2 linked regions of the Arabidopsis thaliana genome follow. The protein of the gene in region 1 purifies or fractionates together with the protein of each later gene. This does not show direct contact. Each region holds a gene or a part of one and is shown on either strand. Other genes may lie near its edges.

The links.
Region 2: the proteins of EMB2799 (region 1) and AT1G15140 fractionate together in Arabidopsis thaliana (co-fractionation; one large-scale study listed by BioGRID). This does not show direct contact.

Annotation. Positions count from the first base shown.
Region 1 is NC_003071.7:16,309,015-16,314,392, reverse strand, and holds EMB2799 (NAD(P)-binding Rossmann-fold superfamily protein), read left to right. Parts: upstream 1-1,770; 5' UTR 1,771-1,917; coding exon 1,918-2,131; intron 2,132-2,359; coding exon 2,360-2,472; intron 2,473-2,754; coding exon 2,755-2,927; intron 2,928-3,167; coding exon 3,168-3,261; intron 3,262-3,554; coding exon 3,555-3,665; intron 3,666-3,772; coding exon 3,773-3,862; intron 3,863-3,987; coding exon 3,988-4,073; intron 4,074-4,156; coding exon 4,157-4,221; intron 4,222-4,302; coding exon 4,303-4,412; 3' UTR 4,413-4,595; downstream 4,596-5,378. Other genes in the region: APC7 (tetratricopeptide repeat (TPR)-containing protein), read left to right, coding at 1-188, 265-309, 392-485, 614-759, 1,061-1,290, 1,385-1,445, 1,536-1,622.
Region 2 is NC_003070.9:5,209,681-5,214,561, reverse strand, and holds AT1G15140 (FAD/NAD(P)-binding oxidoreductase), read left to right. Parts: upstream 1-2,212; 5' UTR 2,213-2,424; coding exon 2,425-2,972; intron 2,973-3,490; coding exon 3,491-3,590; intron 3,591-3,752; coding exon 3,753-3,848; coding exon of another isoform or gene 3,849-3,920; exon of another isoform or gene 3,921-3,932; coding exon 3,933-4,013; exon of another isoform or gene 4,014-4,096; coding exon 4,097-4,159; 3' UTR 4,160-4,381; downstream 4,382-4,881. Other genes in the region: AT1G15150 (MATE efflux family protein), read right to left, coding at 1-205, 335-573, 665-721, 801-887, 971-1,515, 1,631-1,888; AT1G15130 (Endosomal targeting BRO1-like domain-containing protein), read left to right, coding at 4,714-4,881.

The sequences.
Region 1 (5,378 bases):
ATCCTTACACACTAACCAGTATGGATGAGTATGCGATGCTGCTTCAGATTAAGTGTGATTATTCCAGGCTAAACAAGCTCGTCCACGATTTATTAAGCGTTGATCATACCAGAGCAGAAGTATTTGTTGCTTTGTCTGTACTATGGGAAAGGAAAGATGCAAGGACGGCATTATCTTATGCTGAGAAGGTTAGCTTTTTTCTGACACTGAATTTTTGTGCCAAAATCTTTGTGTGATAGCTCATGACATACACTATGCAATCAGAGTATCAGGGTAGACGAGAGGCACATACCCGGCTACATAATGAAGGTAAGCTAGTTCAACGAGGAGTTTATTTATTTTTAGTAAGTTTGCATATATATATATATCCACTAATTTGTTAAGACGTCAGGGAAATCTACTTTTACAAGCAAAACGACCAGAAGCTGCAGCGATCGCCTTCAGGGCTGCCCAGAATTTGAGGTCCGATCTTCGTTCATATCAAGGTCTGGTTCACGAGGGAAAAAGATCTGATATACACTTCCACTGTTGTACTGTTTTGGTGGTATAAACCTTTAACAATCATGAAAAGGTTGGAGTGTGTAATTAACTTGCGCTATTGAGGTCATTTCAGGCTTAGTCCATTCTTATCTTGCATTTGGTAAAACCAAAGAAGCATTGTATACCGCCAGGGAAGCAATGAATGCAATGCCTCAATCCGCGAAGGCTCTGAAATTAGTTGGTGATGTTCATGCGTTTACATCAAGTGGCAGGGAAAAGGTACAAACATTCAGCTTTGTTATGCTTCTATGGTGTCAATTTTCATCATATCAATATTCTATCCAGATTTTTTACATCTTAATCAGAAGCGGTGAAAGCTTTAGGGAGTTAGTTGCATATAATACTAAATATTGAAACTGGGAAAGTTCCTTAAACTTAACTGTTCAAATCTCAATTTTGATAAGCATAGTGTATACCAAATCTGAGAAACTATTCAGAGCTTGTGAGTATCTTCTTGTGATCTTTACATTATGTATAAAAATTTATGGTGTAACAGTAGAATGATATGGTTTTATAACAGGCAAAAAAGTTTTACGAGTCAGGTCTGAGGCTGGAACCTGGGTACCTTGGAGCTGTGTTAGCCCTAGCTGAGCTTCATCTAATGGAAGGGAGGAATGGAGATGCTGTATCACTACTTGAACGATATCTCAAAGATTATGCAGATGATTCTCTCCACGTCAAGCTAGCTCAAGTGTTTGCTGCAACGAATATGCTACAAGATTCTTTATCACACTTTCAAGCTGCATTAAGGTTTATGAAATTCTAAGCCAGTAGTGCTTATAGTTCTTGTTGCTCCTATGCGAAACAATAACGATATAACAGAGTGTAAATAATGTAAACGCAGAATAAATCCACAGAATGAGGCAGCCAAAAAGGGACTAGATCGCTTGGAGAAACAAATGAAGGTTGGGAAGAATCAAATCGAACCATTTTATTATGAAGCTCGAACAAGGATGATGTTTAGTGTATTCACAAAATTGGGGTGTTTGTTGCAGGGAATAGACCCAGATGCAACAGATGAGAATGACGAGAACGATGTTGAAGATGTTGATGGAGACACCGAAGAAGCTGAGCTCATGTGAAGAGTAGAGAGACAGAAGAGTGTGTAAACTGTAAAACTATCGAATCCTTAACATTAATATTAATAGCAAATGTCATTCCTTTTGTTTCCTATAAACAAACTTAGAATATGAAAAGAAACGAAAAAAAAGACCAATATTCTACAACATTGGACGTCGTGACGTGTAAATACGCCATTGGTTAAAACACACCAAGAGAACCCATTACCAAAGTCTCACGGAGAATCCCATCTCTTTCCCCACGCCAACTCAATCTTTTTCGTCGTCAAAAGCCAAAGCTTTTTGCTTTTTTGTCTTAATGGGTTTCATCTCTTGCATCTCATTTCCGACGATCAATTCAAGAATTCTATCGACTCACCACTTTTCCAAGCACTCGACTTCAGCGTCTTCTTCATATTCACTTAAGTTTGCTTTGAGACGTCAGGAGGATAAACCCAAAGTCTCGTTTTTTCTTCCATTAACGTCTTCGTTAATGGCGACCCCTATTCAAGCCTCTTCTTCCTCCACCATTGGTATCTTCACTCTCTACTTCTTCAATTCGACTGCTTTAAGGATTAGTGAACTTTGACTTTTAAGATAATCCTATGTTAATCTTTTATGCTTAGTGAGGTAATTAGAGCTTTCGAATGATTTACAATTTCTGATTACATTGATGAGGAAGCTAAGAATATGGTAAATGAAGGTTTAGTGATCTGCCTCTCCAAAGTAGTGACCTTTTTAATATGTTGTTTTGTATGAAGGTGAGACCAGTGATGGCTTGAAGGTCCAGTCTCATGTTTCAATTGGAGCAAACGATCTGCTGATTGTTGGACCGGGTGTTCTTGGACGCTTAGTTGCAGAACAGTGGAGACAGGTATAATTTCTGTGTTGTATATCCCCTACAGGGGACTTAGCTCAATTTGATACTTACTCATATTCTTCTTATAGAACATCCGATAGATATGGTGTTTCTGTACTACGAAAACAAAAACGTTTATGATGTCCTGCAAATCCCTGTTTTAATGTGTCTTGAGTGTTTATCAATATGGTGTGTGTGTGGATAGTGACTAGTACTTTTTCTTCACAACGTATATATAGTAAGAGTCATGTTTTTCACAATATGGAAGTTAGAGTTAGAGCTTTATATGTGGAGCAGGAACATCCAGAGTCTCAAATCTTTGGGCAGACAGTAACAACAAATCATCATGGTGAGTTGGAGAATTTGGGTATCAAACCATCTCTTAAAGGAACCGAATATGGGGGAAAGTTCTCCTATGTGATCTTTTGTGCTCCACCATCACAAAGCGCTGATTATGCTGGTGAAGTCAGGTGATTAATTACAAAAAATCTTATGTTTTAATAACTAGAAAGTCAATTTATGCATTATGATCTGTTAGTGAATGCCAGAAATGTCGACTATTGTGCGCTTGACTTTATTAGCTGGAGAAGAAAAATGAAGCTAAACGTCAATTTGTGCTTTTTAGTTCATCCTATGTGACAACAGTAAAAACATTTGCCTTCATTCAACTGTCTAATATGTGTGTATGCTTGTGTTTACAATCGGATCAGGAATGCAGCATCAAACTGGAATGGCGAAGGATCATTCTTATTCACATCTAGTTCTGCACCTTATGATTGCTTTGATAACGGAGAATGCAACGAGGTTTGTCTCAGCACCTGAATACCTATTTTCTTTCAGTTTTCTCCATCCTAAAATTCCTAGTTTTAGACTTTAACACCACATTTAGTATTATTCTATATCAAAGTTGTTTAACACAATTACTTGTTGAGGTAATTTGGGGAAAAGAGTCTCTCACATTTAAAATCTATGAAAATCAAGTATACAATCAATAAAAAAATTTGATATTTGAGACCACAATGCAAATTCTTGTTCATTGTGAATATATATATGTGCTATTCAATAAGAATTTCTAAGTTCGTTACCCTTCACTGCAGGATTCTCCAGTAGTGCCACTGGGAAAGAGTCCAAGAACTGATGTGCTTTTGAAAGCTGAAAAAGTAGTGTTGGAATGTGGAGGGACTGTCCTTAGACTAGCAGGGCTTTACATATCCTTTTGGATTTCGATACTGAAACTGAATGAGCAAGTATTGAAAGACTTTTTTCTTGGTCTGTAGAAGATTTGAGCATTATGTTTCTCCTGAACTTTTTATACACAGAAACTAGAGGTGCACATACTTACTGGTTGAGTAAGGAGACAATTGATGCTCGTCCTGATCATATTCTAAATCTCATACACTATGAGGTATATTTGTGATTTTGTTCACTCTCATAACTAATTAGTTGATCTGCAGATTGAACTCATTTTCTAGAATGGCAGTGTACTATACATTAGTCTCTTATCAGGTTCTCTAATGTGTTTTTGAACAGGATGCAGCATCGCTGGCAGTTGCAATCATGAAGAAGAAAGCCGGTGCTCGGATTTTCTTGGGTTGTGACAACCATCCTTTGTCAAGGTAATGCTGCTTTCGTTCTAACTTTGAGATTACTTTCTAACTTTTGATGAGACATCAAATGTTTGACCCCTCACTCTTCTCAGGCAAGAGGTGATGGACCTGATGGCTCAAAGCGGAAAATTTGATAAGAAGTTCAAAGGTTTTACAAGTGAGTTTCTTCAGACATTGACATGTAGTTGTCTTGAAAAACCTTAAGCTTCATGGAGTCTGACAACTTTGGCTTTTGTAGGCACCAGTGGTCCTTTAGGGAAGAAGCTGAACAACTCTAAGACACGAGCGGAGATAGGATGGGAGCCGAAGTATCCAAGCTTTGCCCAATTTTTTGGAGTATCGACATAATATTTTTACTTGGATTGATTAAGAATGTCTCTAGCGCTGAAGAATCCAATAATGTGAAGCATTATTTATGTTTGGTACAAACAAACTCATGTATCCTCTTGAGTGATCAAACAGCTGAAATTTTCAGAATTCTTCATAAAGCTCCATGGTTCATATATATAAATCATATTTTGTTAATTTACTTAATACAGTTAGCAAATGGGTTGAGAAGTAAATAATCAACGCAAACTTAATCAGTTTGAATAAAATATATAAACGTGGTTAGATCATAATAATAAAGCATCTTATAAATCATCTAATTAGATGGATTTTAAAGGTTTCTGTCAAGATGTAAAAGCTTGTGTCTTGTTCATTACCAAATTAAGATTCTAACAAAGAAATAGGCCAAACATACGAGGCCTCAGGTATGAGCCTAACAAACACATCCATGCCTCCATCTCACCCACATAATTTGATATGAAGGTTTCATTATACCTTTATTAATAAAAATACTTAATTCATTAACATGTTCACAAATCATCTCATTGGTGATATGTGCAAGCAAATAATCTTATCAGTTATCACATTTGGTTTCTTAACACCAGTTATGGAAGGTTGTTATAAGTTACACAATGTCTTATAATTAGGGTGATGGCCCATCACTGATGGGTGATGTTTTATCTATATATAAAAAAATCTTATATTAATTTGGCTATATACAAACATTGAACCAGATTCAGAGGGTTGCTAGGCGTATGATATGTCTGAAGTGATTAATTCGACTTTAAGAAATTTGTAGCCTAATGCAAAAATACTTTGTCGGATTTAGAAGGCCTAACAATTAGGAACAACACCTAATGCAAGACGTTCCAACCACCTGATTATTTATTTAAGTTAAATGTCACTAAATTTCTAAACTGCTCCGCAAGTTTTAGGGTTCACACAGAGTTGACACTTTTTGCATTGCATTTTGGGCCTTCATAGAGA
Region 2 (4,881 bases), on another chromosome or scaffold:
TGGGTTTTCCAGTTTGTGCAGCCTGTGACAAGAGCCAGCAGAAGAGTCTGCAGAACTGCACCGGCTAGTATTCCAATCCAAAGGCCAACACCTTTCAGATGAACCCAGAAGGCTAAAGATGCTGCAATGGGTATCCCCCAGAGATAGAAAGCTCCGAAGTTTATGTAAGCCCCTATATGCTGCCACCCGCATCCGCTTGCAACACCTTCCAACCATCAAACGAGGGTTAGAAGAATGGCAGAAAAGAGTACAACATGAACAGGCATGACAACTTGGAGCTGTATATTCGACACTAGCTTATGTTTGAGAAACGAAATGGGAAAAAATCTCGAACCTGAGAGAACCCCTTGTAAACTGTCCAGTATGATAGAAATAGAGACCAACGGAGCCATCTTTGCAACATATTCGATGGTTTTCTTGTCACTGCTGAAAACATGGCCGAAAACATGCCTGCCGGCTAATAGAGACATACTCACCATCAATGCATCCATTACTGCAAGAGACATTGCCGCATAGACCACAATATGTGCTGCTCGAGAGTTTCCAGCTCCTAACTCATTTGAGATTCTTGTGCTGCACAATGTACTTGCTTATGAACATGAAACCATAACAGAAAGTATACTTCAGCATTTATGTACTGGATAGTGGTGACAAAAGCTCTAACCTTGCTGCAGCCGCGATCGCTAGTGGTATTGAATAAGTTATTGAAAGTGTTTCGAAACTGTCCGTAGTATGAATAACATTATGATTTTGCAAATTCAAGATTGTGACAGGAAATGGAAAGATGCAAGGATGAGTACCAGATAGAGAGCACAGAAGTCTCCAGCTGTGGGTTGGGTAACAGACCAGAAAGTAATATTATGAGTTCATATGACCACCACTCCAGGCTGCAACCCATATATAAAAGAGTTTCTAACAAAAAATGTGGAGGCAATGAGAAGTGAAAAAGGAACAGAGAAAAGTGATGTACCAAAGCATAGCCGCAGAAGGAAGAGCATATTTGATAAACTCTCTAACGCCCTCGAATATCTCCATGGTAAGCGGCGCGCGTGTCTCAGAACAGGCAGAGGAGTAGTACATGAAAGATCCAAGGAAAATGGCATAGAGCCAGTATGACAAGCTGAGAGCCAAGGCTCCTCCAATATGACCAAGCCCTGACTTATAAACCAAAAGCCAGCAGAGAGGAACGTGGATACAAAACACAACAGAAGAGGTGACGAGGAGAGGTGTGATCAAGCTCTGGTTTTTGAAGTAGCGAATGAGCGGCTGAAGAACGGCGTAAGCGAACAGTCCTGGGATGAGCCAAGCGGCATATCTACCAGCTTCGTGAGCAATAGCAGGGTCTTGGCCAAGGATCACAATAAGCTTTCCCATGTTGAACCATAGGAGAGAGAGAGGGAGACACACTAAAGTAAGACAGAACATAGCTGTGTAAGCCTGAACACCTAGTTTCCGATATAGCTTAGCTCCATAAGCTTGACCACTCAAAGTATCTAAGGCACATGACAATCCTATCTATCATCAAAAAGTAACAAGAAAGTGAGGAGAGGATGCAATTTCCATGGTTCTGGTAGCTAGTAACAGAGATAAGTGCGTCAATTTAGAGGAAAGAAGGAAAAGGAAAACAAACAATGAAGCTGAAGCCAGTGACGTTACAGAAGGAGACTGCGAAGGAAGCGCTAGCGAGGGAGAGTCTACCGAGGTGACCCACCATCACCATTGAGATTATCTGTATCATGAACTGAATGATAACCACGGCAGCCATAGGAGCCGCAAAGCAGATAAGCCTCTTGAGTTCTGCGGTGAAAGATCCGTCTTGCAGATCTCTCCATGTCACTTTCTCAATTCTGTCTACCGGATCATTGGTGGTTCTCTCCGCGTCTTGCATGGCTTGTGAGAGAGAGTTTGAAAGTTGAAACGGAAAGTGGTGAGTGATAATCGTGAAGTACTACTGTCTGCTTTTTGGTGCTTGGTTATGTGTAATTCCTTACCAAGGGAATCTATAGTGTAGTGCCACTTGGCAAAATTCCAAAACCATGAATGAAATATATACGTTAAATTTGGCTCAACGGTAGGGAGTGTTCATTGATAATGTACTCTTACGTTTTTTAATATGCATATTGCTTGTCACTTTTCTTCCACAATTCTGTCTTTTAATTACATGATTTGGTGTTTTTTCTTTGAAAGACGAGCTAGCAAAATTAAATGAAGAGGGAATGCAATTTTCGAAGTATCACAACAAGTGGTCGGAAAGTAGATAGAATGATATTTTGATCATCCACGTGGCAAAACATTGTAACGGAAGGAAATTAGGTGCATAGCAAAAAAAAATAACACAATCGTGCCACCGAACCAATCGGGCCGCCCTTTTCTACCGCCGGCTAAATTTGACGGTCACATATAGAGCCCCAAAAACTCTCCACCATGTCCACTCTTCCTTTCGCGCCTTCTGTCACCCATGCGCACTTTAGCCACTCCCTCTCCCCCATGTTTATCCTGCGCCATCTCCCTCTTACACGCCATCTCCGTTTATCCCGAAATAACCGCGTCGCTTCCGTTGTATCCGCCGCCGCCGTTCGCCAGGACGCTTCCCTCTGGACTCCAGCTCCTCTCTCTCTAATCGAATCAGCTGCAGAATCGCTTTTCCACATCTCAATCGACATTTCAAACGCTCCGGATCTCGTAGCTTCGTACACGAGACCCGGTCAGTATCTCCAGATCCGTGTTCCTGATGTTGAGAAGCCTTCTTTTATGGCAATCGCTTCTCCTCCTTCCTTGGCGTCTTCTCGTGGTGCTTTCGAATTCTTGGTCAAGAGCATCGCTGGTTCTACCGCGGAGATTCTCTGCGGGTTGAAGAAAGGAGAGACCGTTGAGCTTAGCTCTGTGATGGGTAATGGTTTCAATATCGATCTGATTGATCCTCCTGAGGAATATCCCACCGTTTTGATTTTCGCCACTGGATCTGGAATTAGGTGAGAGCTTTTTCCATTTTCTCTCCTACCTTGTTGGATTGCTGAAGTTGTCTTTTTTACTTCATGTATTCAATGATCCAAGTGTGGTCTAGTTTAAAGGTTTCAGTGCAGAGCATTAGCTAGATACAAAGCTTTCAAACTCAAGTATCTTGAATCTAGTTTAGTTACTCATTTTGCGGTGAATCCTCTGTGATGCCGGGTTCAATTGCTTTTTTGTGGACCTTTTTTGTGAACTCCAGTATGATTTCAATCTATCCAAAGGTGCCATGGACCAATTTTGTGGCTATTTTTTTACTGTGATGATGTTGTAATACTGAAATAGAGTTTCATGTATGAAAGGTCAATGTTTTTATGACTTTGGTGATCGATCAGATCTGTTGTTTATGCCAAGTAAAGGTGTTTCTTTCAATCATCTATTGTTCTAGGCCTGGTCAATCAAAAATGTTTAGTGATGGTGATGTGAATTAAGTAACTGTCTTCAATTTGGAATGTAATCTCACATGTTCTTATCTCTGCAGCCCCATCCGCTCACTAATCGAATCAGGATTTGGCGCTGATAGAAGATCTGACGTAAGACTCTATTACGGGGCTAGGAACCTGAATAGGATGGCTTACCAGGTTTGGTTCTTTCTCTCAGTTGTTTTGCAATTCATGATGTCAGTAGATATAAATGTGTGTGCTTGAATTATAAAAATCTTTTGATGATAAGCGTAAAGCCTATCTCTCGCTCTCATTTTGATCTACAGAAGAATCATCTTGGAAACGCTCTTGATTTTGTAGGAAAAGTTTAAAGAGTGGGAATCAGCGGGTGTCAAAGTTGTGCCGGTATTATCACAGCCAGATGATGGGTGGAAAGGGGAAACTGGATATGTGCAGGTGAGATTGAGAAACGTGCTCCTTAGTCAAGTCTGCTGTAACTCAATGTGGATCAAACTAATATATACATAATGTGTTGTATAGGCTGCTTTTGCAAGGGCTAAACAGCTATCAGCTCCCAAGGCCACGGGAGCGGTGCTGTGCGGACAGAAACAAATGGCTGAGGTATGCACTGTTTTTGTTTATGAGAACCTAAATGCTTTAGAAGATGTGTATCTTTATCATTGTTTCGATTTGTATTGTTGCAGGAGATAACTTCAATGCTTGTAGCTGATGGAGTCTCAAATGACAAGCTGCTCAAAAACTTTTGACAGATATAGTTCTTGTATTATCGTATAATTTTACTGTTTCTTCACATCATTATTCTTTTGATACGAAAGTCCTCTTCAAGGCCTCTCTAATTCATAAACACACAGAATTTTGTAGTCCCTTAAAAATTAATACTACTGTGTTGATTGTCACCACAACATTCTTTTTTGATTAGTGATCATGTTAATGTCCATGCTCTATATACTTTGCATATTTCTTCTACTTTCAATAGAAAATTTCTACATATACCAAGAAGATTTATACCAAAAAATATTGTGAATTAGACATGTTTCTAATTAGGAAAAGTTCCACAAAATAAATCACCATCGTTGCCACATTTAATTAACGCGGAAAAAAGCTTAAAAGCCATTGATCGACTGTATTAACCACTAAATTAGACTGCACGCCGTTTTCATAGAAGATCACAGGACTTGGTGTCGTTCTCACGATCCTTCACGATCATCTTCTCTTAGTCAATAAGGATCCATCAAGGAAACCAAAAATCGAAGAAAATTAGAAAAATCGGAAGAGCGATCGAAGAGGATTTTGAACCGCCATGGCTTCTTCTTCGCTCTCTAATCTGATGCTCGCCATTCATGAGAAGAAGACGAGCTCCGTTGATCTCTACCGTCCTCTCCGCAACTACGTTACTTTCACCTACTCTGAGCGCGAGGCTCAGCTTATAGACGACGATCTCGAGACCTTGAAGCAGCTCCGATCCGAT